Linked DNA regions of Ovis aries. The protein of the gene in region 5 interacts with the protein of the main gene of each other region in a biochemical or structural test. Links are inferred from orthologs where the notes say so. Each region holds a gene or a part of one and is shown on either strand. Other genes may lie near its edges. The genes, in order: MDC1, ATRIP, E2F1, RHNO1, TOPBP1, TICRR and RAD9A.

Evidence for each region.
Region 1: the proteins of TOPBP1 (region 5) and MDC1 are reported together in a solved structure, tested with the Homo sapiens proteins (3 studies listed by BioGRID, with this or other methods). The link is inferred for Ovis aries from reciprocal best matches to the Homo sapiens genes TOPBP1 and MDC1.
Region 2: the proteins of TOPBP1 (region 5) and ATRIP form a complex in vitro, tested with the Homo sapiens proteins (2 studies listed by BioGRID). The link is inferred for Ovis aries from reciprocal best matches to the Homo sapiens genes TOPBP1 and ATRIP.
Region 3: the proteins of TOPBP1 (region 5) and E2F1 form a complex in vitro, tested with the Homo sapiens proteins (4 studies listed by BioGRID and IntAct). The link is inferred for Ovis aries from reciprocal best matches to the Homo sapiens genes TOPBP1 and E2F1.
Region 4: the proteins of TOPBP1 (region 5) and RHNO1 form a complex in vitro, tested with the Homo sapiens proteins (2 studies listed by BioGRID). The link is inferred for Ovis aries from reciprocal best matches to the Homo sapiens genes TOPBP1 and RHNO1.
Region 6: the proteins of TOPBP1 (region 5) and TICRR form a complex in vitro, tested with the Homo sapiens proteins (2 studies listed by BioGRID). The link is inferred for Ovis aries from reciprocal best matches to the Homo sapiens genes TOPBP1 and TICRR.
Region 7: the proteins of TOPBP1 (region 5) and RAD9A form a complex in vitro, tested with the Homo sapiens proteins (4 studies listed by BioGRID). The link is inferred for Ovis aries from reciprocal best matches to the Homo sapiens genes TOPBP1 and RAD9A.

The regions. Positions count from the first base shown.
Region 1 is NC_056073.1:27,420,074-27,424,036, reverse strand, and holds the start of MDC1 (mediator of DNA damage checkpoint protein 1), read right to left. Parts: upstream 2,801-3,963; 5' UTR 2,462-2,800; coding exon 2,420-2,461; intron 917-2,419; coding exon 775-916; intron 409-774; coding exon 28-408; intron 1-27. UniProt on the Homo sapiens protein: Histone reader protein required for checkpoint-mediated cell cycle arrest in response to DNA damage within both the S phase and G2/M phases of the cell cycle.
Region 2 is NC_056072.1:51,440,097-51,443,596, reverse strand, and holds part of ATRIP (ATR-interacting protein), read left to right. Parts: intron 1-361; coding exon 362-532; intron 533-2,422; coding exon 2,423-2,541; intron 2,542-3,500. UniProt on the Homo sapiens protein: Required for checkpoint signaling after DNA damage. Required for ATR expression, possibly by stabilizing the protein.
Region 3 is NC_056066.1:63,140,864-63,145,140, reverse strand, and holds the start of E2F1 (transcription factor E2F1), read left to right. Parts: upstream 1-1,477; 5' UTR 1,478-1,610; coding exon 1,611-1,871; intron 1,872-4,277. UniProt on the Homo sapiens protein: Transcription activator that binds DNA cooperatively with DP proteins through the E2 recognition site, 5'-TTTC[CG]CGC-3' found in the promoter region of a number of genes whose products are involved in cell cycle regulation or in DNA replication.
Region 4 is NC_056056.1:212,723,284-212,727,228, reverse strand, and holds the start of RHNO1 (RAD9, HUS1, RAD1-interacting nuclear orphan protein 1), read left to right. Parts: upstream 1-1,145; 5' UTR 1,146-1,294; exon of another isoform or gene 1,295-1,303; intron 1,304-3,945. UniProt on the Homo sapiens protein: Involved in microhomology-mediated end-joining (MMEJ) DNA repair by promoting recruitment of polymerase theta (POLQ) to DNA damage sites during mitosis.
Region 5 is NC_056054.1:256,378,201-256,382,483, reverse strand, and holds the start of TOPBP1 (DNA topoisomerase 2-binding protein 1), read right to left. Parts: upstream 2,801-4,283; 5' UTR 2,658-2,800; intron 2,489-2,657; exon of another isoform or gene 2,092-2,488; intron 2,019-2,091; exon of another isoform or gene 2,014-2,018; 5' UTR 2,012-2,013; coding exon 1,928-2,011; intron 1-1,927. UniProt on the Homo sapiens protein: Scaffold protein that acts as a key protein-protein adapter in DNA replication and DNA repair. Composed of multiple BRCT domains, which specifically recognize and bind phosphorylated proteins, bringing proteins together into functional combinations.
Region 6 is NC_056071.1:20,374,774-20,377,525, forward strand, and holds part of TICRR (treslin), read left to right. Parts: intron 1-307; coding exon 308-2,444; intron 2,445-2,557; coding exon 2,558-2,752.
Region 7 is NC_056074.1:41,692,054-41,696,260, forward strand, and holds the start of RAD9A (cell cycle checkpoint control protein RAD9A), read left to right. Parts: upstream 1-1,407; 5' UTR 1,408-1,525; coding exon 1,526-1,559; intron 1,560-1,641; coding exon 1,642-1,712; exon of another isoform or gene 1,713-1,725; intron 1,726-2,192; coding exon 2,193-2,321; intron 2,322-2,768; coding exon 2,769-2,883; intron 2,884-2,970; coding exon 2,971-3,070; intron 3,071-4,207. UniProt on the Homo sapiens protein: Component of the 9-1-1 cell-cycle checkpoint response complex that plays a major role in DNA repair. The 9-1-1 complex is recruited to DNA lesion upon damage by the RAD17-replication factor C (RFC) clamp loader complex.

The DNA.
Region 1 (3,963 bases), on a different chromosome or scaffold from region 5:
ACCCACCCTCCTGATACACAAACTTACCTACTTCTTCCTCTGAGTCCTCAGCCAACAGAAGCCTGGAGGGTTGAGTTCCTCCCTGTACCCTGGGTGTCTCCTCTACACTTAGAGGGCCCCGGGAGACAAAAGGCCGGGGGACATCCAAGCGATGGTACTGGCAGGGCAAGTCAGCAAAGAGAATCAACTCCCGGTCCCGCAAACGATGACTCACCCCAGGGCTCAGGACCTTAGGAGGCCGCAGGATTTGAGTGCCATTGAGGCTCCCGCAATCCCGAAGGACAGGCGCCTTGTCCCAGGCAGAGATTTCAATCACTGCATGTTGTTTGGATATTGATGAAAAGGGCAGGGCCACAGAGCAATCAGGCATTCGGCCTATCATGTTCTTTCCAAGGTAGAGTGGGAAGTCTAAGAATTAGAGAGGTAGGTGAGTTCCAAAGCCATACTCCTAACTTGCTATTAAGAAAAACATCTGTTAAGTTCCCCACGACTCACTCAAGGTCCCCCTCATGCATTAGAAAAATAAAAGGCCCTAGAATAACTAGCTAATAAAGAATATGTGCAATGCATTATTCATAGTCAACATTCCATCCATCTACACTGGATTGTTTCTATTGTGGTAAAATATATATAAAATTTGGGCTTCCCAAATAATAATGTCCCCAGTAAGACATTTTTTCCAGATCTCACAAATGCATATCTAAGCTTGCAATCATCCTATTACCTCCCCACAGAAATAAGAGGCCAGTACTTTAGCATGAAATTACTCCTGACCTTTTTCTGGTCCATAGGAACTACTGAAGATATGCAGCTGTGCTAGGGGCTCCAAGCTATACCCCAGAGATTCATTGGGGCTCTCTGCAACCTCCTCCTCTTCTTCAACTTCCCAGTTTAAAATCTGGGTGTCTTCCATGATCTGAGAAAAAAACACATTATCCCTTCCTTCAGTGGCTCACACACACAGCCTCAGGGAGGAGACTGGTTACTGCAGTCTCCTGGATAGCTATGGAGGCTGATGCTTCTCTTTCTGCCAATCATTCTGTTGTTATTCCTCTGAAGCATTTAAGAAATATCTCTGACCATGACACAGAATAAGAAAGAAATGTAACAGAGTTCCAAGTACAGAAATATAAGGGTCTTCCCTGGTTGTCCAGTGGCTAAGACTCTGCACTTCCACTGCTGGGGGGTGCAGGTTCCATCCTTGGTCAGGGAACTAAGATCCTGCATGGCCAAAAAACCAAAAAAAAAAAAAAAAAAAAACCACCCACAGAACACCAACAAAACAAACAAACAAAAACTGAGTTGAGAGACTTCTCTGGCGGTCCAGTGGCTAAGACTCTGTGCTCCCAATGCAGGGGGCCAGGGTGCAACGCCGGGTTAGAGAACTATAGCCCACATGCCCCAACTAAGGCCACACAGCATGTGGGATCTTAGTTCCCTAACCAGGGATTGATCCCTTGCCCCTGTAGTGGAAGCACGGAGTCCTAACCACTGGACTGCCAGAAAACTCCTTATTTTACTTTCTATTTCTCAGATAAAGAAACTGCAACAGGGATGGAGTAACAGATTTGTCTAAGATCACTCAGATAATGGGGCTTCCCTTGTGGCTCAGCTGGTGAAGAATCTCCCTGCAATGCGGGAGACCTGGGTTCAACCCCTGGGTTGGGAAGATCCCCTGGAGAAGAGAAAGGCTACACACTCCAGTACTGTGGCCTGGAGAATTCCAGGGACTGTAGAGTCAGATAAGACTGAGTATCTTTCACTCAGATAATGTCTCTTCCTGTTTAATATTCTTTGATGGTTTTCCATACCCATAGGATAAAATATATCTAAACTCCTTAGCAAGACCCTCAACGATCAGAACCTCATCTCCTGAAATGTGTGTCCCATCCCCACCCCGTCCAAGCCTGTGGTTCTACAACATGGACCTTCTCCTTAATCTCTGAACACACTGTCCTCGTTCTCTCACATCTGCAGGCCTTAGCCAGCTCCTTAGGACGTTGCCCCTAGTGTTGTGATCCAACTCCTATCCATCCTTTTAGCTCAAATGTCACTTTCGAAGCAAAGCCTTGCCTTTAGTCTTCTCTGTGTTCTGGTACTTTCCCCTATTTCCCATGTATCCTAAGTGTTTCACGGTGGTTGGTGGACTTATATTATCCTAATAGGTCTCACCATAGTGTAACTATTACATTCCATTTCTGCCTCACACATCCCCCTTGAGAACTGGACCAGTTAGAACTGTCTTTTCCCCAAGGGTCCATCATGTTAATTCAACAGTAGTTACTGTGTACCTGATACCATTAGAGATATTTCGAATACATTCATGAGTCAAACGTAAAATTAACTCTGCTCTCCTGATGAAATAATAAGATGAAAAGTCAAACTAGTATGGGTGGGAATTAAATTTGAAAGATGCTACCTTAAAGGGAAAATGTAGACAAGGAAAGTGGGACACCTCCATGGAGAAAGTGTTAACATCGTTTCATGAAGGCGAAATGAGCGGCGCCCACGACCTTCGGCTCCAATCCAATGGGCCTTCAACTTTGATCTCGATCCCAAGGGTTCCCTCTGAGCCCAACCTCTCCCAGTGTCTTCATACCTAAACTCAGGGAGGGCCGTCAAGTGAAGATGAGGGTTATAATCCGAGAAGCAAATTTCCAAGAATCCTCCGCCCAGTCGTAACCAAGGCACGCCCCTCCCGCCCTCCGGGAGAACCAAGATGGCATCCGGGGAGTCGTGGGCGAGGCCCCCCAGAACTCACCTACTTTGAGTCCCCGCGCGCGCCACCAGTAACGGCTGCGACAGGGGTGGTGCCAGTGCCTGAGCGGGGAAGGGGCTGATTAGCTGATTGGCTGAAGCCTTTGTCTTTCTCGGCCCTGCGGCAAGCAGACGGAGCAATCCAACGCGGAGGCATAGCCGGAGCCCCGCCCCCGCCCCGCCCCGCCCCCTTACGGCTCAAAGGGGCGGCTTCTCCGGGGAGACAGATCCGTTGGACGAGGCGGTAATCGGAAGCCTCGGAGGCGCACAGAATAGCGCACTTCGATTGGGCAGCTCCAAAGGGACAACCCACTGCGGTTTCACCACCCACTTCCCGCGTATATTTCCAAGTTGCGACCACAGAGTCTGGATGCCAGCAGCGGATAGAGGGGCTTACCACAGTCGTCGACCTAAGCATGTAGTGCGGCCAGAGCGCCTTCTCTGGTCCTCCCAGAAATGGTGTCCGCTGACTCATGAGAAATATAAGGGTTGCGGGCTGCAGTCGTGGCTGAAGACTTCAGTCTGGAGAATAGCCCGTAGGCGTGGCGCTTGAGGACTCACTACAATGGAAGTTCATTTCCTTTTGATTTAGCTCATCTAGAAGTCATGTCATTTCCTCCCTGAGAATCCATTCCTGATGGACACTTTGAGGTCATTATCCTAGAGTAAAGATATCTAGGCAAACGGAGAGAACTCTTTTGTTAACCATCTTAAAGGCTGACCGAGGTCTTTGAAGGGCTACAGAATGGTAAATTATTTTGCTAAATTTCATACTAAGACAATTTCACAGGAATAATTTAGGAGGACCTTTTGCATTAGTATTCTCACTTCGTTCTGACCAGAAATAAGAGTTCTGCGGAAGTTAGCTTGCCTAGGCTCCTACGGCTGTTAGAGACAAACTGAAACTGTTTAATCGTGAATTCTGAACTCTCTTCACTACCACAAAATAACTACTTTCACTGTGATTGTGCCTTCAAACATAAACATTTTAACTGGGTAGACGAGTTTTACAGAAATTTATGTTCTTTTATTTAGAAGATGAGAAATGTGTGTTGAATCCAGTGTGAATTAACACCTTGCTATCATCTAACCAAGTGCCTCATAGGTAAACAGCTCTCTTGCCAATTCAGGAGACGCAGGAGAAACGAGTTCGATCCCTGGGTCGGAAAGATTCCGCGGAGAAGGAAATGGCAACCAGCTCCAGTA
Region 2 (3,500 bases), on a different chromosome or scaffold from region 5:
TACTGAGATATTTATAGCATGTGTCTTATAGAAGAAACACAACATCATAATGGTTGCTATTTTCATTAAGTTTTGCAAAAAAGCAGACATCTTTCATATGACTATCTATAGGTCCCTAGGACCTTAGGAATGTGCATGCAGAAGTGACAAGTACGTCCTTAAGCTATTTGCTGAAAACCTGCTGTCCCAGGAATGGACCTAGCAGGTCATGGTCTGGTTGGCATGGATGTATTCTGAGCTCTTATTGATCCTTTGGACATGTTTTAAATGTGTTTCTTCATCTCCCCAGCTACATATTGAAATAAGTGCATATGTAATTTTCCCTTACAAACCTTTCACAAGATCAATTTGGAATTTCCAGATGAAGGCAATGGAAGAAGAAGTGCTCATTAAAAACGGAGAAATTAAAATTTTGCGGGACTCATTGCATCAGACAGAATCCATTCTAGAGGAACAGAGAAGATCTCATTTCCTTCTTGAGCAAGAGAAAACTCAAGCACTCAGTGAAAAAGAAAAGGAATTCTCCAAAAAGGTGACCCAGAGATATGTTTTGCTTGTATGGACATCAGCTTTGCCTGCTTACTGATTTCCTTTGGAAGCAATGCCTAAAGTTGCTTATAAATCTCCCAGGAAGATTTCAGCAGTTGTTTGTTGAAAATACTTTTGCCACCAACTAATTATATGTACTTTTCTTTGAGGCTCTGTGGCTTGGAAAAGGACATAGATGAAATTCTGCTTTGCTGTGGTTGCCTAAGTCACTGGCTAACACTTTGCAGAAACAGGCTTAAATTATGCTTTTTTTTTCTTTTGGGCAGATCAGAAACTCAACTGACCTAGCTTAGGCCAAACAAACAAACAAAAAAAGGACTGCCTTCTGTAACTAAGTCTGGGGAAAACAGATGTACTGCAGTCTCAAATGACTTGAGATTTACCAGGACTCATCTTTATTCTCTGTACTGTTGATAAATTCCATCCTTATGGCTGAGGATGTTTTCTCTAGGAGCTCCAGGGCTCATATTTCACAGCTCCAGAACAGACTGAAGACTTAGAGGTCCTCATCTCAAGTTTTAAAATTCTGGGGAAGGCCCTAACTGGTCTAATCTGAGTCAGGTGCGTGGCCCGGAACTAGTCACTGGAACCAAAGAGATAATAGCTCCCATTCAAATCATATATTCAAAGGCAGGAAAATGATGTTTCTTAGGGGACGGAGCTTCTGTTGTGGGGAGAAAAACTGGGTGCCAGGTATATAGTACTTTCCTTCACTTCCCAAATAAGGACATGGGTTTTACTCTGCCATTACATCATTCAGCAAACTTGGTAATCTTTGAAGAAGCGCTGACCTGTGCCTAACACTAACAGCAGTAGTTGCTTTTCCATATGCATAGTGACCAAGGGAGGTACCAACAAGCCAGAGATTGAAGCCAGGCTTTATCACATTCAAGCGGTGGCCTCAGGGCGATCAGTCCTGCACTATGACTCATCTCCTTTATCTGTTCCCGAAAATAACCAGAAGAGTTGTTGTGAAACTTAAATGGTCCTGCACTTGTGTCTGGTGCCATGCCTGGCATGGACCATGCTCAGGGAATGGCAGCAGTTACTGTCGGCCAGAGCAGCAGGTCTCCCCACACTGCTCAGGGTTTTGGTAAAACTATTCCAGATTCTCAGCCCAGAACTTCAGGAAGACCTGGATTGTGTACCACCATGTTCCCTGGGGGCTCAGGGGTAAAGAACCCACTTGCCAGTGCAGGAGCCATGAGTTTGATCCCTAGGTCGGGAAGATCCCCTGGAGGAGGAAATGGCAACCCATTCCAGTATTCTTGCCTGGGAAATCCCATGGACAGATGAGCCTGGGGGGCTCCAGTCCATGGGGTCGCAAAAAGTCAAACACGACTGAGCGACTAAACCACAACAACATGTTCACTACAAGGTCTCCATGTTACTGTGAGATACTGCACCTTAGCAAGCTTTGTGCTGGGCATTTTACAGTTACATTCTTACTTAATCCCCCCAATCATGAAGACAGGTATTTATCTTACACATCAGCTGAAGTTCAGAGAGGCCGAGTAAATGGTGTTTGAATTCTCACATACCACCTAGCAATAAGCAGGTCAAAATATCTTTCTAGAATACCATGCCATCTTTCAGTAAGAAAGCTAAAACTTGATATTTTAGGACATTTATGTCACAGCAGACTTTTATACTATTTCTCATTGTTTGTTTTTCTTTTACTAGCTGGAGATTTTTGAAGCCCAGAACTATTTTTTATTGGTGGTGGTGGTGGGATCCTTGTTCCTAGACCAGGGATCAAACCTGGACCGCTTGCATTGGAAACATGGAATTTTAACCACTGGGCTGCCAGGGCAGTCCCCCAGAGCTGTTTCTGTAAATGTGATGAGACCTCTATATTTCTTTTGCCTTCCAGCTCCAGTCCTTGCAGTCTGAACTCCAGTTTAAAGATGCAGAGATGAATGAATTAAGAACGAAGCTTCAGAGCAGTGAACGAGCTAATAAACTAGCTGTACCCACCGGTTCCCACATCAGGTAATGATGGCGCTAGCGGGGGGAAACAGTTATCGTTTCCTAAAAAGTCTGAATGACAGTATCAGGCTAGTCGTGAACAAAGGTCATTTAGACTCTGCTACTGCGGCACAGATCCTCTTTTCCAGAGACCTCAAAGGTGGTTCAGATGAGGCTGGAATGGTTTGGGGGATTGTAGCATAAGGGTCCCACATTCTCTGAAAGTGCCTTCTTCCTGTAGGACTTTATAAACACAACTCCTCAGGATGAGAAAAGGCTGGAAAGATGACCTCTAGAGTTTTAGGGTAGACCAGTCTTCGTTTTTATGTAATTTGTTTCAGATACGTGATTTTCTCCCAACTGTATGTCAGTCCCAATTGCTTAGAACATTTTTTCTCATTTGCTGCCCAATGGCCCCCACCTTTGCTGCAGATATAAGCAGTTTGTTAATGTCTGTCCTGTGAGAAGTCTGTCAGTATCAGCCTTGAAACTTGAACAGTGTGAGTCAGGTCGTCTTTTTCTGGTTTTCAGCATTCTGCTGCCTTTGCTTATAATGGGCAGGGTATGAAACTGAACTCTTTAGGCCATACATAGTCCAGGTAAGACAGAGGACAGCAGAAGGAATCCATCCTTACCTCTTCACACTTTACTCACAGGACGGCCTCAGCATTGTCTGATCTAATCAGAGGCTTAAGACTGCTTCTCTAACATAAAAACCCTGGTACCAAGGGACCGGCCGTTTCCTAGTTGCAAGAAACAACACACCTCGCACTAGATGCTCTTTCTACCGAAAATCTTTTAATTCAGTCCCTGGGTATTAAAAAAGAGGTTGTTGTAAACTAGTGGTTACAGTGGGGAGAGGGACAATATAAGGGAAGGGGAGTAAGAGGTACAAACTATTAGGTATAAAATAAGCTACAAGTATATACTGCAAACCAAAGGGAATGTAGCCAATATTTTATAATAACTATAAATGAAGTATA
Region 3 (4,277 bases), on a different chromosome or scaffold from region 5:
TGAACGTACATAAAAATCACCTGGCATGAGAGTAGGGGTTTGCTTGTGAAAATGATGCCTGGGCACTTAGATTCTAAATTGGCAGGGATGGGGTGGGCCCATAGTTAACAAGCACCCAGGTGATTCTGAGACCTGGGACATTCCAGGTAGCCTCCAGTGTGAGCCTGTTTCTTTTTACAGTCCTTCTCTGCACCTACTGTGGACCAGGCCAGTGCTGGGAAGAGGCCCTATTGGAGCTCCCAGTCTGATAAGGAAAGCAGATAAAGAGATCCAGTGTGCCCGCTCAGTGCTGGAACAGAAGTGGGGGTGGACAGTGGAGGAAGCGAGTAACTTCAATACTTGAGTGTTCCCTGGAAGAAGTGATATTTATATGGGGCCTAGGGATCTCATTCTTGACTGCGTCTTAGTGTTTTTTTTTCCCCTGATGGGTCAGTCCCCACCAGATGGCAGGCAAGTTCATAGAAATCATCAAGCCTTTTGCATCTCTGCCCTTAGTGCTGGCACAGAGCCTGGCATAGAGGAGGGGACAGTACTGCTCAAATCAGCTGATCTGAGCAATGAGAAATGGCTGATGGAGAGGTCCCAGGGCCTCCGGATTAAATGCATTTTCATGCTCAGCATACTCACCTCCTCCCTTTGTGAGATCTAACATGGAATTAATAGTGAAAATTCCACATCATGTTGTAAATGCTTGTACCTGTTTCTCTCTTCCCTTTTTCACTAAACTGTGAGTTCCTTAGCGCCAAGAGTCAAGAATGGGGCTTAGAGCCGGCTCTCAAAACGTTTGTTGAACGAGTGAATCAGTTCACGCAGAAGTTGTGCATAGGGTACTGGAGTTTCCAGCTATAGGAGGGCTTGTAGAAAAGCCCAGAGCTGTATTGGTCCAGATATCCCTCCCCGTTTTCTGACAGCTCCCTTTTGCTTGGGCTCTGGGTGAGAGGAATAGGGTGGGCACACGATTTGAAAGTGAACGGCTTTGGTGACGGAAGTTGAGGGAGAAGTGGCCGGAGCTTGGAGGTGGGCCTGAGAACCGAGAAGAGAGGAGGGGCAGTTTCTAGAGATCTGGCCGAGAGTGTCGGGGCCACAGGTGAGAGTTATCGGGGTCACGTGGGGTCTGCTGACGTTGAGATATGCTTAATGGACATTCTGTCCTCAACTTACAGGCATCGGCCAGATGGGGGTGCGTCGGGGAGGGGGTGGGGCCACCACTCCTCGGACAGGGGCCGTCCCCTCTGAGGGCGGGGAGTGCGAACGCGCCTGGCACCGCCCCGACAAAGCCTGCGCGCGCCCCGACCCCCGATTGGTCGTGCTCCCTCGCGCCGCCGCCCCGTCCCGCCCTCCGCCGCCGGACCGGCGCGCTGCAGCCAATGGGTGACGTCGCCGTCGCCTCCGTCACAGTCCGGGCAGCCAATGGTGGTAGCGCTCGGCGGCTCGTGGCTCTTTCGCGGCAAAAAGGATTTGGCGCGTAAAAGTGGCCGGGACTTTGCAGGCAGCGGCGGCCGGGGGCGGAGCGGGATCCGGAGCGGGATCTAGCCCTCGCCTCGGCCTGCCGCCATGGGCCCGCGCCGCCGCCGCCGACTGCCACCCGGGCCGCGCGGGCCGTGAGCGCCATGGCCGTGGCCGGGGCCCCCGCGGGCGGCCCTTGCGCGCCGGCGCTGGAGGCCTTGCTCGGGGCCGGCGCGCTGCGGCTGCTCGACTCCTCGCAGATCGTCATCATCTCCACCGCGCAGGACGCCAGCGCCCCGCCGGCCCCCGCCGGCCCCGCCGCACCGGCCGCCGGCCCCCGGGACCCTGACCTGCTGCTCTTCGCCACGCCGCAGGCGCCCCGGCCCACACCCAGCGCGCCGCGCCCCGCGCTCGGCCGCCCGCCGGTACGGACATCAGGGACACTGGGCTGAGTGCGCTGCCTTGGACCCCTGCGCAGACCCGGGCGGGGCGCAATGTTTGGCCCGGCGGCAGCGGGGGCGGGGGAGGGTGGGCTGAGGCGTCCAGGCTGGGCGGTGCCGAGCCTGGGTTGGGCCTCGGGGCTCCGCCCTGGGGTGCGGGGTGACCTCGGGCCAGTCCTTGTTTGCTGCTCTGTGCTGTGGGCCTCAGCTTCCTCGCCGGAGCAGACTCAATGATAATAATGGTCCACGTGTATTCAGCTGTCGCTGACTGCATGCCAGGCCTTTGGCTGACTTCAAGGCAGCTAAAACTCACATCCATGCTGTGAGCTCGGTGTTGTCACTGTGCCCATCTGAACTGTGCCCAGAGACGGGAAGTGGCTTGCCCCCTGGTCACAAGGCTGCAAGTGGGATTTAAACTGAGGCCTTCTGGCTTCAGACCATAACTTGTGGCTGGGTGGTGGGCATGGCTGCTTGGGGAGGTCAAAGTGGGGTGTTCTGGGACCAGTCCGTAGAAGAGCCATTGAGGAGACCCTCCTTCCTGCCTCTGGGACTGCCAGGTGCAGGCCTGGCCCTCCGGGCCTCTGGGGACAGGCTGCCTGGCTGGGAGGCCTTCTCTGCAGGGGCGGGGGTAACTGGGCCAGCTGCTGATCCCCTCCCTCTGCCTGTCCTTCCATCTGCCACCCTCCACCCTCCCAGGCCCTGGTTGCCATGGAACCTCATTAATCAGGCAGGCAGACCCCCGGGCCCCAGTGGAAGTCCTGGGTGGGCTAGGCCTCTGGGAGCTGGTGAGGAGGCCCCCAGTACCAGGAGAGAGTAAATGCCCCAGGGATATCCCTTGATAAAGTGCTCCCTGCACAGCGAGAGGCTAAAGACAGTTGAGACTAGGGGGCCCAGAGAGGTGTCTGAATTAGGAGGTGGGGGGAAGGAGGGGGCGGAGGCCTAGAGCTTGGTCCTGTGGGCTGCAGGACAGGGCGTGGAGACCAGTTTGACTGGTGCAGCCTGTGGGTAAAGTTAGGGCATGGATGGGCAGGCAGGATGGGGTCTCAGCACAGTTGGCTGAGCAAGTTGAGGCAGGGAGGCAGGGCCCAGGGCAAGGAGGTGGAAGCCCAGCTGCTGATGGAGGCCTGGGTAGCAGCTGGTCCCTGAGACATCCCAACAAGGTTCCCCCGACCCCTTTGGCCCCCTGCCCAGTACATCCTTCCTTCCGGAATCACTGAGATGCTAATAATAACAATAGGAGGCACCATTGTTTTGAGACTGTTTTGTGAGTTAGGCCATGTGCCAAGCACTTTACCCAATTAACTCATTTAACCCTGTCAACAGCTTTCCCGTTTTACAGATAGGGAAGCTGAGGCTTAGAGATGTTAGAACCTTCCCTGGTGAGTCAGCTCATGAGTGGTGGGACCAGACCAGATTTCCTGAGTGGTTAACTGCTGGCATGCCTTACTTCCTGGAGATGCTAATAGAGATTGTAGGAAGCCCAGGGTCCCTTCCTCCAAATGAGTGAGAGGGAGGGAAGTTGCACAGGGTGGGTCCCCTGATTGGTCTCCTATACCCCAGCAACCTGTCCCTGCAGGTACCAGCTTGGAGCCTGATCGAGTAGCCTCCATTTAGCTGATGGACAGGTGCTTAGGCCCAGGTCCTGCCCTTGGGCAATGGAGCTTCAGGCTTAGAGGGACAGCCAGGGACTGGGATCAGGAAGTTTGCCCTCTGCTCCACACCCAGGGTGTCAGGGGCAGCCTCACTGGGTCTGAGCATTCCATTCATTCAGCAGTTGTTAGTGAGTGCCTCTGAGGTTCTAGGCACAGGCACGTAAAGAGCCTCTGCCGTCACAGTACTTAAGGGCTAGTACGTGTTTTCTGCCGTGAGCAGGAGTAGGGCCCAGTACCACCTTGCTGCTGTAGTTCAGAAACATGGGCCCAGCTTTTGCTGTGCAACACCTCCTAACATTGTACCTGTGAGTAGCCACTGGCTATCTGAGCTGTGGCCTCCACTCACCCTCTGCACTAGCATTTGTTTGGGGGCAGTCCTTGAAACAAGCTACAGGCTCAGCTTCTGCACAAGTGAGCATTCATTGAGTACCTCCTGCCTACAAGGCTCTGTGCAATTCAACCATTCCTCCTGGCTCTTCCGGTCCACATCTCCCCTGTTGTCATGGCTCTTAAAAAACAAACTGGATGTAATGCATATTTACTATGGAAGAGATGCGAAAGTTGAGGGGGACAAGATCCCCAGCCCCATCCATTTTTTCTTTTTTCTCTTCCTGTGTTCCGATAGCACATCATCCCCACTTTAGAGACAAGGCAGCAATTCCTCATGGTCCTCACCCTGATACCAAGGTTACTCTTGAAATGGATTCTATAATAATACAAACTGAAGCAGAGAAAGTGG
Region 4 (3,945 bases), on a different chromosome or scaffold from region 5:
TAACTTCTCTTCCAGAACCAAGACTATAATCCTTGTCTCCTGACTAGTGCTGTGCATTAAGGACGAGTTTTATCTTTTAAAAATTGTGTGTTGTTGATTTTGACAGATCCATGGCATACTCTACCATTGTGCGAAGTAGTGAAATTCTGCTGAGAGGTACTTTGAGAGACAGAGTAACTGTCTGCCTCTTCTTTAGAATATCTGCAATTTCCCTAGAAATGACTGTCACGCTCGTCTGATATTTGCCATCTGCTTCGAGGTCACAGACCCTTTCCACTCTGCCGCCTCCCTTCCCTTTATATCTAGGTTTCCTCTACCTTCAAATCTCAGTTTTACTTCCACCTCCTATCTCTTCCGCCCTCCCTTCCTCCCTCCACCCATCAAATCAGTAGATGCTAGTATTTCTTCCTCCCCCCCAGAAAGATATTTTCCTGGTCTAATGCGTCTTAATTTTTCCTTCTACTCTGACCAGCTTACTTGCTACCATTGCCAGCACTTTCTAGCCCGGAGATTTCCGAGGCGGCTCCCGGGGACTCACCCCTATCCAGACCAGAGCAAGGCTGCGGGGGTCTCCGGAACCCGGAGGAGGGTCCTGGGACAGGGCGGAGTGGAGACTGGGTTACCTAGAAGGAAGAGCACCTGGGCTCAGGGGAGTATGCGAGCCGCGGCAACCAGCGCAGTAAGCTTAGAAGGACCCCAGACCCAGATGAAAGGCTAGGGGGGCTCAGTGGGAGAGGTGAGGGGGGGTGGGGGGCCGGGAGGCTGGATGCAACAGCGCGGCGCACTGTTGCCAGTCCCCCCAACCCCCCGGCTGGAGCCAGCTCTCCGCGCCCGCCGGCCCCGGGCCTCCAGCCCGCCGCCCACTCACCTCGCTGCACCGCCGGCTCCGGGCGGCTCGGCGCTGCTCCGACCTGCGGGCCGGGCCGCGACCCCGGCTGCGGGGCGGGGAATCCCGGGATCCCGGCGGGGGAGGGGAGGGGGGGAGGGTGTCCCAGGCCCGGGCCGGGGGTGGGGTCCCGCTCTGGGGCTTTCAGTTTGTTCCGCTGTTTGAAATTGGCGCCGGCGGAGCGTTGCGGTCACGTGACGAGCGTGACCAATCAGCGCCGGCTTTGTATCCGCGTTCGGCCGGGACGCCGGCGGCGGGCGGGGCTCCGGGCCCGGAGGGCGGGAGAGGCGGGCGTATCGGCGGCGGCGACGGCGGGACGGGCAGGTGAGGTGGCGCCGCGGGGCCGGCGAGGTGGGCGGGCGGATCGTTTGCTTCCGCGGGCAGGCAGGGCGGACTGATCGGCGGCGGGTGAGGCCGGTGAGACGGGCAGAGCGGAGTGCGGACCGGGCGGCCGGGCCGAGTGGCGGCGGGTGGGGCCGAAGGCTCGTGGGGGGAGGGCGCAGGAGGGCTCCGCGGTGGCGGGACGCGAGGGACCTCGGGGGACAGTAGGGACCCCCGGCCGCCCCGTGCTCTCCCACCGTCCGCCCCGTGCTCTCCCCGCGTCCCCGGTTCCTCGCTGCGGGGGTACTGTCCGCCGTCGACCTCCCGGGCAGCGAGCGCCCTGGCTCCCCGAGCAGCCCGAAGGGGGTTACGACCCCCTCGCTCTGGTTCCCTCCTTCTTAAAAATGACCGCGCACGCCGCGGACCTTCGCCTCCGCTTGGAATCTTGGATCTCTGATCTCCCGCCCCGTCCCTCGCAGTCTTTTCTTTGTAGTGATGGACTTTGTTTTCTTATTTAGCACGTTTTTAGTTGAGCGTCGGCCATGTGCGGGGCGGCTCTGGGATGCAGTGGCGGGGCGAGATGCGGTGGTTTTTCTCCCGAGCTTGCAGTCTGTAGGGAGGTAAGAGGGGCTCACACGAGCTCCCGTCGAATTGCATATTTAAGCAAATGAAGAATTACTACTGTGAAGTGATAACAGCTCAGGGATAACTGAGTATGTAAATAAGGAGATCTTGCCTTAAGTTAGGTGAGAAAGGCATTTCTTTTCTTTCTTTCTTTTTAAAATATTTATTTGTTTGGCTGCACCAGGTCTTAGCTGTAGCCTGGGGCATCTAGTTCACCCGGGCCCCCTGCATTGGGAGCGCAGAGTCTCAGCCGCTGAACCTCACCCCCCGCCTCCCCCAGGGAGGTACCCAGAAAGGCATTTCTGATTAACTAAAGCTTGGTCTGAGATCGGATGCCGTTATGCAAACAAGGGAAGGAGACACTCCAGGACAAGGGAATTGAGGGGGTACAAAGACGCTTACTCCTTGGAAGGAAAGTTATGACCAACCTAGATAGCATATTGAAAAGCAGAGACATTACTTTGCCAACAAAGGTCCGTCTAGTCAAGGCTATGATTTTTCCAGTAGTCGTGTATGGATGGGAGAGTTGGACTGTGAAGAAATCTGAGCGCCAAAGAACTGATGCTTTTGAACTGTGGTGTTGGAGAAGACTCCTGAGAGTCCCTTGGACTGCAAGGAGATCCAACCAGTCCATTCTAAAGGAGATCAGTCCTGGGTGTTCTTTGGAAGGAATGATGCTAAAGCTGAAACTCCAGTACTTTGGCCACCTCATGCGAAGAGTTGACTCATTGGAAAAGACCCTGATGCTGGGGAGGGATTTGGGGGCAAGAGGAGAAGGGGACGACAGAGGATGAGATGGCTGGATGGCATCACGGACTCGATGCACGTGAATCTGAGTGAACTCCGGGAGTTGGTGATGGACAGGGAGGCCTGGGGTGCTGCGATTCATGGGGTTGAAGAGTCAGACAGCACTGAGCGACTGAACTGAAGGACCACATGACAGGAGGAAGCAAGGGCAGCACAAAGGCTGAAGAAGACATCTGAGGGGTTTGAGCTAAGGGACAAGGGTGGACTGTGGGCGATGACACTGGAGCCAGAGCAACAGGGCCTCAGCCACCACGGAGGAGTTTCCTTCTTGCCCCAAACAATTGTTTCAGACAGGAGGGAGTGGAGATCAGCTTTGCATTTCCAAAACATTCCCCTGCAGGGGGTGCCAGAGGTTAGGGTAGACCAGTTAGACTACTGCATTATCCCAGGCCATAATTATTGGAACCTGAAGGGTGGTGGAGAGAGGGAGAGAAGGGTAGGGTAATAGTATTATTTTTCACACAGGAGGAATGCTTTTATCAAATTTTGAGTTGCATCTAACAAGTCTCAAAAATAGATTGCCATTGATTGTGATCCCACATTTAATCCTGAACTATATCACTGAATCCCACACATCTAAGCTCCACCCCTCCACAAGTATAATTGTCATAGAACATTATGTTAGTTTTAGGTGTACAACATAATGATTTGGTATTTATTATACATTGCAAAATGGTCACAGTAAGTCTAGTTACCACCCGTCACTGTAGTGACAAAAATCTTTTCCCTTGTCACGAGAACTTTAAAATATATATATATATTTTAATGTATTTGGCTATGCTGGGTCTTAGTCGCATCATGTGGGATCTAGTTTCTTGACCAGGGATCGAACCTAGGCCCCTGCATTGGGAGTGTGGAGTCTTAGTCACTAGACCACCAGGGAAGTCCTGTGATGAAAACTTTTAAGTTTATTTTCTTGGCAACTTTCAGATTTGAAATACAATACTGACTATAGTGACCACAGTGTATGTTACATTCTGTGTGTGTGTGCTAAGTCGCTTCAGTCGTGTCTGACTCTTACACAACTATAGCCCATTGACTGTACATGAACTGTAGCTCCATGGACTGTAGCCCACTTGTCTCCTCTGTTCATGGGATTGTCCAGGCAAGAATACTGGAGTCGGTTGCCATGCCCTCCTCCAGGGGATCCTCTTGATCCAGAGATTGAACCCACATCTCTCTCTTACATTTCCCTGCATTGGCAAGTGGGTTCTTTACCACTGGTGCCACCTGGGAAGCCCCATATTACATCCTGCTGCTGCTAAGTCGCTTCAGTCGTGTCCAACCCTGTGCGACCCCGTAGACGG
Region 5 (4,283 bases):
AATCCATCTCAAATCCAGCCTTCTTCCCATCAAAAGGAACCATCATCTCTCACGTGGCCTGAGCAGGAGTCTCCAAAGGGGTTCCTTCTCATCCTTTGCCCTAAATCTATTCTCCACACAGCAGCTACTAATCTTTTCAACAATACAAATCAGGTCATATCACTCTGCTGAAAACCTCCAGCAGCTTCCCACCACACTCAAAATAAAATCTTCATTTCTTACAATCACCTATAAGACCACAGAGTCTGGCCATTGCCTGTCTCTGTCTCCCCATGCTTACTTCTTCCTCTAATCCCTTTTGCTCACTCTTCTCTAGCCACTCCTGCTTTCTTTCCAGACCTGGAACAAGCTAAGTATGACCTCATTTAGAGGTTTTGCACCCCCCCCCCCCCCCACTGCTACCTGGAACACTCTTCCCCCAGGACTTCACCTGACTTGTTTCACTTCAACCACATCTGCTCACATGTCACTTCCTCAGAGATGCTTTTCCTGATCACACTTTTCTAAAATATTCTTTCCCTATTTTATGAAGAAAACAACATAGATATAGTATTATGTATACTAGCATATATAGCATACATAATATTATATATACATATATACACAGTTTTTGTCTCTCTCCCTTGTAAGAAGAATGTTTTGTGATCTATCTTGTTTGGCAACATATCCTGGCTCCCAATAAGCACTCAAATATTTTCTTAACAAATTCTGAAGTCCTTTCATTAAATACTTAGGGTGATCCTTTTAAAACGATTAAGTCAGATCATATACTCTTCTGATTAAACTCCCCCAGTGGCTCTCCATCTCACCGTAAGAAAAAGCCAAAGTCCTTAAAAGAGACCACAAGGCCCTCATGACCTCTTTATTCTTATTCTCTGAACCAAACCTTAGCATTCATCCCACATCTCCTGTTCACACTACACTACAGCCACAATAAAGCAGGACAGACACTGCAAGCACCTTCCCAGGGCCTGTGTATGATTATTTCCTCTGCCTGAAACTGAAACCTTCCCCACATATTAACATGGCTCATTATCTCACCTCCTTCAAGTATTTACAAATATCAACTTCTCCACAGAGAATATCACACTATATTTAAAATAAATTGTAAACTTCCCTTCTTCCTTAACAAACATCTTCTGGAATGTTTTAACTTGTTTTGCATTTCTCCTCCCACAGCACTTTGCAGCTTTAACATACTATATATTACACACTGATATATCTGACTAGTTTATTTCCTATAGCTATAATAGAATGTAAACTCTGAGAAAGTATGGATCTTTGCCTGCTCTCATTATCTAAATGTATCCCACGTATTTGAACAGTGCTTATCAGATGATGAACACAATTATTTGCTGAATGAACTTAAAAGAAAAACCTGCTACAAGTGTTTCTTTCTTTTCTTTTTTTTTTTACAAGTGTTTCTTAAACATACATAAGATCTTGTTAAAAAGTAGATTCCAATCAGTGAGTCTGAGCTGGGGTCCAATTTCTCAGGCCACGGTGATGCTACTGGGGGAGACACTACCCCTACATCCTCCCACATGAAACTATATAATGAAACATACTTTTAACAATTAACAACAACAAAAACAAAAAATGAAGTGTAACCAATATAGGACTGCCTCAAGTTTTTTCAACACACAAAGGTCTATGGTTAGTAGACAAAAGAAAACTACTTAATTTCTAAGACTACCAGGCCCATCACTTTCAATATAAATGTCAGTAAAGATTTCAATCCCCCCAAAATACATGATATACTAATATCAATTCAAGAGTGTGTTAATAATGAGGTATCTATGAATGTAGACTAGAGTAAAACTATTATGAAAATAAAATAACCATGACTAAGACATAAAAGGCCTAAGTCAAAAACACTAGAAACAAGAAAATGAATTCACAGCAAGACATTGTCAAGTAGTCTTACCTCAAGAGCTTTAAAAAAACATTCAGAATTGTCTGAAGACTTTAAAAACTTCACAAAAAACGGTTCTTTGTCATTTTTGGACATTTCTGAACTGTCAAAATAAAGGAACCATTAACAAGAGTAAAAACACATTACGTACAAAGTTAAATGTTTAAAGCACCTACTTTTCTGTGCAAATAAGAATGTCGAAGGACAAACATTCTGGTCTTGCCCATGAATTCGTCCATTATGGTTTGTAAGAAACAGTGGAATGTGGACAAAATCAAGGGAAAAGATGACAACAACCAGTCTTCGTAAATCAAAATACGAAATTAATGTTGCTAAACTGAATTCATCGAGGACTTTTGCTCTGGAGCTCTAAGTCTCCTAAGTCGATGGTCATTCAATTTCATTTAGCTTGAGAATGCTCAGAACGATTAGGTCCCTGAGGTCATCTGCGGCCCTCAAGATAGGTTAAGCCCTCAGTAAACGAACTTTACATATAAACATGAAAGCCAGCCATTAAAGTTAGGGCCCTAAAAGGCTAGATGCTCTCGCTTCGCAGCTGCCAGGGGAAAGTCCGATTATCGGTCCTGCCCCAGTCACGTGCTCTCCGCTGTCCCATCCACCGGTCCGGGGACCGGTTACAAGGTCCGGAATCCAGGGCCCCTAAGGCCAGAGGCGGCGTCGAGGACCCCTCCCCCTTGCGAGGTGGGGAGGGAGCGGGGTGCTCACTCTGAGCTTCACTCACCTCGGTGGAGGCAGGGGATCTCCGGGCCGCGAGTAGGGGGCCGCGCGGCACGCGGGACTGCGGCTGGGGTCGGGCGCCAGCCCGGCGCACACCCGCCGCACCCAGCGGCGCCCCCAACCAAAGCAAACGCAGACCCGGAAGTTGCCGAACCGCGAACCGACTTTCGCGCCAACCGCGCGGTCTTGCCCGTCCCTTCCGGCGGAAGTGACGCTACGACAACTGCAGCGGGGGAGGGCGGAGACAAAAGAAAGCGGCGGTGCTGGTTGGTTCCCACCCGGAGGCTTAGGTGTTCCCGGAAGGCTGTGGCAGAAGCTTCGGCTCAGGAGCTGGAAGGGCGGGTCTTACCTTTGCTGGGAATTGGCGAAGCGCTGAGGGCTAGGGCTTTGGGGCGGCGGGTCGGAGGTATTTTAGAGCAGGAGTTCGCAACTCCAGGGCCAGGGAAGGTTAGTGGTGGAAGCAGAGCCGCTCCCCATTTCTCGCGTTGCCTTCTGAACGGCCGAGCTCCCCTTGCCCTGGGAAAAATTGTCTTTTACTAAACCGGTCCCTAGTGACAAAAAATGTTGGGGACTGATGCCTCAGAGCAGACCCTAACATATCAAAAAATAAAGACAGGTAAAAGAGGGTTTCTTTAATAGTTTATGCTGAGACACCATATGTTACCTAAAACAACTCTGGGAGGCGAATACTGATTTGTATTTACAAATGTAAAAACAGGCTTAGGAAAATTAAATGAAGTGTTCGAGGTCACAGTAAGTGGTAGAAGTTTAAGACTGCACCCAAGTCTTTTTGACTCCATGGACTGGTGGACTGGATTATTTTCCTCCAGTATAGCCCAAATGTGCTCACCAGCTACAACAGCCAAGGGTCTAAAGAAAAGAAAGACGTCAGGATGACGTGAATGACATGCCTGGTGCGTAGGAGGTCTTTGCCAACTTCAGTAGTGCCCTCCAGGACTAACACCCTATTCTCCCACCTCGCTACTCCCACCTCGCTACCCCCAACCCGTGAGCATCTCATTTTTTTCTCTGTAGCTTCCCAAGTGTTGGGCAGATTGTGGGATGGAACCTAATGTTCAAATGGCAAAGGTGTGGGGAGAGGAGGTGAAATAGGATTGTAGGACCTCTGGCTTGTTGATGGCCAATGAAAAACTGCTTGGTCAGCGTTTCTCCTCATTTTATTCTTGACTGTTGGGAGTGAGAAAATCATGATTTGAGTAACCTGAGAGTTTAATGATCTGTACCTTGGTTTTTTAAAATGTCTAAAGATGGAAGATATGATGGTCATCTGAGTTAAATTCACCCATTCCAGTCCATTTTAGTTCACTGATTCCTAAAATGTCGATGTTCACCCTTGCCATCTCTTGTTTGACCACTTCCAATTTGCCTTGATTCATGGACCTGACATTCCAGGTTCCTATGCAATATTGCTCTTTACAGCATCAGATCTTGCTTCTATCACCAGTCACATCCACAGCTGGGTATTGTTTTTGCTTTGGCTCCATCCCTTCATTCTTTCTCAAGTTATTTCTCCACTGATTTCCAGTAGCATATTGGGCACCTAATGACCTGGGGAGTTCCTCTTTCAGTATCCTATCATTTTGCCTTTTCATACTGTTCATGGGGTTCT
Region 6 (2,752 bases), on a different chromosome or scaffold from region 5:
GAGTAGTGAGTGCAGTGATACAGAGGCAAAGCATATTTTCACTGTAGTGTGCAAATTATTAAAACAATTTGTCTTAGAAGAAATGAAGCTTGGATACAGTGCTTAGTGCTAGAAAAAGTTGACAAGTAAAATCTGGGTCATGTTTTGGAACTGGAAACATGTCACTGTATGAAATCCAACTTATCATTCCTTTGGCTGATAAGAAACCTCCCACTGGAGTTTTTAATCTTCTTAGAGATCATTAAAACATTTCCGAGACTATGGGTTATGATGTTCAAAGCACTGAAATAAGCATCTTTCTTTACAGACGCCTGAGAAGAGTTACTGGAAGTCTCCAAGTTCTTATAAAGCCACACCAAGAAAGGTCCCTCGGACACCACAGACTCCACTGCACACCCCGGAAAGGCTGCAGAAATCCCCTGCGGAAATGACCCCTGCCAAACAGGTCATTTTTAAGGAATTCTCGAAAGACTTCTCTCCACATGGCTGGGATTCACCATCGCAACCAAAAGTCACCCCTCGGAAAGGACACTCCCTGGCAGAAGGTGCCTCTCCTCTTGAAAAGGTACCGAGAACTCCCCAGAGACAAGGTGGCCAGCCCCCCAGATTTTTGCAGAATTCTTCTTGGCCACGCTTGGCGGACTCCAGTCTGGAAAGCACCTCCTGTCCAGCAGCCCTGGTTTCATCAACTGCCCAGACCAGGAGTGTCTGTCTGACCCCTAGCAGATCCTCTGCTCAAGCACCTCCCAGGACAGCAGCCTTGGGGCTCCAGAGACAAGCCGCTTCCGAGGGCACATCTCCAAGTCAGAAACACCAGCCCCCCCGAGGCTCTGGAGCACCCCAGGCAGAGAAGCTGCCGCAGCCTTGCAGTAACAAAGCTGTCAAAACCCCAGAGAGACCAGGGAACGCAGCTCTGACTTTTCCAAAAAAAGCTATTACCTCTCCTTCACGTGGTATTTCCAAAAAGAGTTCACTTGGGGAATTTCCCATGGCATCTCCTTCGTCTGGACAAGTGGGCTGGCAAGAGGTCCAGAAATCACCCAGCATCACCACACCTCCCTCCTGTTCTGCTCCCTTGACACCCCCCAGTGCCTCACAGGTAGCTCCGTCTGACCTCTGGCCCCCTCCGCCCCCTTCCAAACATGGGAAACGGCATAAAAAGACCTCGGGAACAGAACGAGACTTCCTGGAGGGCCAGCCTGACAGCTTGGCTGCTCTGAGGGTTGCCATAACTGACAACCCAGCTGCCATCACAGATGCTGGAAAGAACCAGAAGGCAGCGACCCTCTCTTCTCCAGCTTCGCCTGAACTTCCACCTTACCCTGGAACTGGCTTTGGGAGTGACTGGCATACATCCTCTCCCTTGCTTATTGCAACAGACTCGGACTGTCTCACTCTCCTGGATGAAGCTGAGCACCATGGCCATGATAACTTAAAAAGCAGCATTTCACCCCTGGACGAAGATGAGGGGTTAAGGATGGGTACATGTGAGAAGCCGTCTCCGTGTGACCCCGGGATTCCTCCCACCTCTCCTTCCTCTGAGTCCCGCTCTCCCCTGATGCCCCCCTACGACCTGCACTGCATGGCAGACACAAAGCAGCGCCAGGCGGCCACGCAGCTAGAGGACCAGCAGGCTTCAACCTGGCCCTGTAGAGCCCCTGCCAGCTCGCAGGCCTATGAGGTTGAGCTGGAGATGCAAGCTTCTGGCCTCCCCAAGCTTCGAATTAAAAAGATAGACTCCAGCTCTTTGTCAGAAGCCGAGCCCCCACCAAGGGAGGAGAGCTCCCTCCTTGGTCCCAGTGTGCCCAAGGCCAGCAAGTCCTCAGGCAAACCCGAAGCCACCTGCCTGTCGGCCCCCTGCCTTCGTCCCTCCCATAGCACCCCAGGCAAGAGTGGGGGACAGACCTATATCTGCCAGTCATGCACCCCCACCCGCTGCCCCTGTGGTACCCCCTCTCCGTTCCAGACAGAGGTTGGGGTTCCTTGGACCCCATCCCCCAAGCACAGTGGGAAGACGACTCCTGACACAATTAAAGACTGGCCCCGCAGAAAGAGGGCGGTGGACTGCAGCCTCGGCCCCTCTGCTGGGAGGAGCGAGGTCAGTGCCGACCTTCCCGGGCGACTGTCACCACTGGAGTCAGAGGGCAAGGAGCGAGGCCTGGAACTTGGCATCGGCAGACCCCCCATCCTGGGGGATTTTGAGCTAGAGGGCGTGTGTCAGCTGCCAGACCAGTCGCCTCCCAGGGACAGCGCGCCCAAGGCTGAGGAGGCCTCCTGGGGACAGTTTGGGTTGGGGTCTAGGAAGAGATGCCTCTCTGCTAAGGAGGAGGCTGAACGACAAGTAAAGAGGGCCTGTGACCCGCAGGGAGACTCGGAAGAGCAGTCTCCAGGCACAAGCATTCGCCAGTTGCCCTCTGCGGCAGACGACGAGGCGTCCGTCCCAGGTGAGTTTGCTGTGTCGAGCTGTGTGGGCATGGCGGCACCAAGGGGATGCGGCGGGAAGGCTCGGGCTTCATTGTCGGGGCCGTGGGCTGCACTGACCGTACCATCGCTCCAGGTGCCACCCCGCCTCCCGGCTGTGCTATGCGGAGCTGCCTCTCTGCCAGCGGGCTGCAGGCGCTGACCCACTCTCCACTGCTGTTCCAGGGGAAGACACCCTCCTCTCAGCGTAAAGACGCCAGAGGTAATTTGTTGGAGATCTGTCCTTTGGTTAGCTCGATCTCAAGTTACCTCCGGGGTTTTCAGGCAGTTG
Region 7 (4,207 bases), on a different chromosome or scaffold from region 5:
ATGGGAGAGGAGGACCAAGTTGCCATCTGTTTAGGAGGCAGAGCGCTCAGGCTTGCTGAAGGATTGCAGTATGTAAGAGGTGGGTCAGGATGGAGTCAAGGATGAGTCCCAGTTTACTGACCTAAATGCCTGCGTAGAAGTGGTACCATTTACACTGACCCCCTTAAAAGGCAAGAATAATCTCCCCCAGTAATCCAGGGAAACCTGATAAGGGAGGAAACCTGACGTAAGGAGAGGAAGTGGAGTCCAGAATTGCAGACCAGGAGCAGGAGGGTAACGGTCCCACAAACGTGGCTTCCTCACTGGCAACACTGCCAGAGGAGCAAGGCCCTAAAGGAACGCAGGGGTGCCCAAGGGTCCCTCAAAGCACACCAGGTGCTGCAAGAAACCAGAGGCCAGGAGCCCCTCCGTGACTTGCCCTCCTCTTCGCACACCTGCGGACCGAGGCTGCGGACGAGGGAAGACCTGCCAGGCTGACTGCTGTGTCCCACCGGCGCCAGTCGTGTCGCACCCTTTGTGACCCCATGGACTGTAGCCCGCCAGACTCCTCGGTCCATGGGATTTTCTGGGCAAGAACACTGGGGTGCGTTGCCATTTCCTCTTCCAGGGGATCTTCCCGACCCAGGGATTAACTAAGCCCCTCTTTTGGCACCCTCTCTTGGTCATTTTCCAACGGCCAGAGACGCAGGAGTCTATCCTCATAAAATGTTTCCAGTGCTTTCCATCAGTGACCTTCATCATTCAGCAGCCCTCCTCTCACAAACCCACTTCCCTCCCAACGGAGGGAAGAGCCCCCACGTGCTGCTGAGTCTTGACTCTCGCCTTCTCCTGCTGGCCAAATCTTTCTACCCCTTTTCGTCCGGGGAAGCTTCTGTTCTTTGGGATCAAAGAAGGATCGTAGAAGCCACGGCGAGCAGCCACTTCCCACCCCGGGATCCTGTAGCAAGGTGCGTTACTATCTTTTCGGAGCTGGCAGTTGCTGCTTCTGTCCGCGTCCCCGGCCCGCCCGGACGGGGTGAGACGGTCTTGCATCGACCCCGTACGCACCCCGCCGGCGCCCGACAAACGTCCAGGAAATCCGTACTAAATTAGTGACCCGGGCCGGGCCCGCCCGCACATCTCCGGATTCCGAGCTCACTGTTCGCTCCCCGACACCCTCTGGGCGTCTCGCGTTCGGGTGAGGGGCCGCGGTGGGGCCGGCTGCCCGCCGTGCTTCACAGGGGCGCTCGAGGGCCGAGAGTGGGCCTAGACCGCACGGAGGAACCCGGCGCTCCCGGGTCACGTGACAGGGCCCGCCCAGGGCGCAGCCTCCGTCACGTGACGGCGCAGCCGGCGAGCGTCTTTCTCACGTGACGGAGCTGCCGGCTTGCGGCCCAATCAGAGGGCGGGGGCGGGGCTGCCGGGGGCGGTGCGCGGGAAGGGAACCCCAACCGCCCGGAGCCGCGGGAGAGACCCGGAGCGGATCGTTGAGCTGGGGTCCGGCCCAAAGCCCCCCGCCCGCCCCATCCCGGTCACTGCGGGCAGCATGAAGTGTCTTGTCACGGGCAGCAACGTGAAGGGTGAGTCGGGGCCGGCCGGGGGCTGGAACCACGTGGGATGGCCCGAGGCGCCCGCAAACCGCTGTCTCTCTCCTCCCCGCAGTGCTCGGCAAGGCCGTCCACTCCCTGTCCCGCATCGGGGACGAACTCTACCTGGAGCCCCTGGAAGACGGGGTGAGGAGACCGGGTATGGGGGAATGGCGTGAAAGTCCCAACAGGGAGCCCTGATCGGGGCTCGAGTCTCGCCCCCATCAGGCAGGGTGCCCGGTGGGCACGTTTGCTGAGTTTAACAGGGGCCTCCCCTGTTGCTGGGGTGTCCCTTTGGGCCCTGTCATCTTCCTAGGCCGGTGTCTGAATCGAGAGCCCTTGCCCTCCCTCAAATGCCCAGTGGTGGATGGGGGTGATTAGGTAAAAGGCGTGGGTGCTGAAGGCTGGGTCGCGCCCTTGCTGTGGAAACGGCGGGGCTGACGCCCACTCGGGACTCGGGGAAGGCTTCATGGAGGACACCCCTAATGACTGAAAGGAAAGGGCGGGCTTCTGCAGGTGATGGTGGAACAGAAGCCTTTGGGGCAAGTGCCTGGGCAAAGCTGGCTTGAGGGCTGGGCCCAGCACTGCTGGTGACCACATCTTTCTCCCCACTTTTCCTGGCCCCAGCTCTCCCTCCGGACCGTGAACTCCTCCCGCTCGGCCTACGCCTGCTTCCTCTTTGCCCCCCTCTTCTTCCAGCAGTACCAGGCTGCCACCCCTGGGCAGGACCAGCTGCGCTGTAAGATCCTGATGAAGGTGAGGTGGGTCCCTCAGCAGTGGCAGGGCACTCCCCCCAGGAACCCCTCTTGGCAGTGCAGTTTGCTCTGGAGCACAGAGCAGGTGCCTGCAGGAGGAGAGATGTATACTGGAGCAGTCCGGTGCAGAACGCAGAGCCTGGCCAAGTAGAGACATCCATGGGGGTAACGGGCCATATGGAGAGGGTAGCTGAATCTGCCAGGAACCTGCAGGGAGTAAATGACTCTCAGGTTGGTCCTTGAAAGATACGCAGGTCTTTTGAAGGCATTCCAGACCAGGATAAGAGCACAAATGAAGGCCTGGAAGGGTGCAGATATCTGCATGTGTGAGGGGTCCTTTCCTGGTGTGACAGTGTTGAGCCCATGATGGGCCAGAGCCCAAGGCGACTGGACATGAGAGCCAGTTGGCGGAGGCGCAGTGCTGAGCGGATGTGTTTCCCTCGCCTAGTCCTTCCTGTCTGTCTTCCGCTCGCTGGCAATGCTGGAAAAGACTGTGGAGAAATGCTGCATTTCCCTGAATGACAGGAGCAGCCGCCTGGTAGTTCAGCTGCACTGCAAATATGGTGAGTGAGCAGCTGGCTGATCCAGGGGTCCTTGCGGTGTGGGATTAGAGGTTGGTGAGCCCGCTGAGACCCTGTCTGCCCATCCAGGGGTGAGGAAGACTCACAACCTGTCCTTCCAGGACTGCGAGTCCCTGCAGGCCATCTTCGACCCAGCCTTGTGTCCCCATGTGCTCCGTGCCCCAGCCAGGTGAGCACGCCCCTGGTTGCACGCTGAGCCCTAGGCTTTTCTCTTCCTTCTTTCAGCCTCAGGAGTCAGTTTAAGGAGGCACCTCCTCCGTTTTTCCTGCAGGGTATCTGTGAACCTCAAAGCGTTCATCCAACCCAGTTTGCTTTCAGGGCCTTGCCTGGCCCTTTAAGGGCAGAGGCTGGAGTGAGGAGGGGCCAGATGCTCCCTTATCCCATGTTCCTCTCTGTCTCCTGAGTCTGTATTCTCCACCTCAAAGTCTGACTTGGCTTTCTGACCACTCAGCCCCACTCTGACTCCTCTTTCAAAGAACAGGTCTCCGGCTTGCCCTCACATCTCCTCTGGCCTTTGAAGGTCCGTTAATTTTTGTGGCTCCGGGACTTGTGACCTTTCTCTGACCTGGTCATCCTTCTGGGATGAGTCCCATTCAAGGGCAGCCTCTCTTCCTACCTGGCTGGGTTCTATCCCTGAGGGGTTCTCAGGCCACGGCTGGACAGGGAGGTCACGGTCCTGGAGGGCTGCCTGAATAATCAGCTATAGGAGAGGAGCCATTCTGGGCAGTCACAGGGGCCGTACAAGACCTGGGAGATGGGGAGCCCAGCAGACGCCAAGGTCCCTAGAGAAGACCAGAGGCTTGGGTCCCCTCCCACCTGCCCACGTGCAGGGTGCACCTTGCACTCAAGTAACCCAAGGTCTCACGTTTCTTTGCTTTTGGTAGCCGCAGGACCTGGTAACCTGAAGGTCCCTTTGAGCCCTGACTTTGTTTTTCTGAGTTTTGTTGAAATAGCACTACCTAGGATCCCTTTGGGTAGAGAAAGAATCAATCCATGGTCTGGGTTTTGAGAATTTTTCTTTTTTTTAAAACGAGTGATTGTTTCTCTTTATCTTATGGACAATTTCAAATTCATATAAAAGCAGATGATAACCAGCTTTGTCCCAGTTGTCTTGAGGCAAATTCCAGGTATTATTTCACCTGAAACTATTTACTAGCCTGTCTCTACTAGACAGGGACCTGAGGACTCTTTGTAAGGCGGTGTTCATGCGGACAATGTGGGTCTGGTCTCCCAATCCTGGATGGGCAGGTGCCACCTGCCTGGTTCGGTTCAGCACAAACCGCCTGAACTTCCTGCTGCCTTCTGT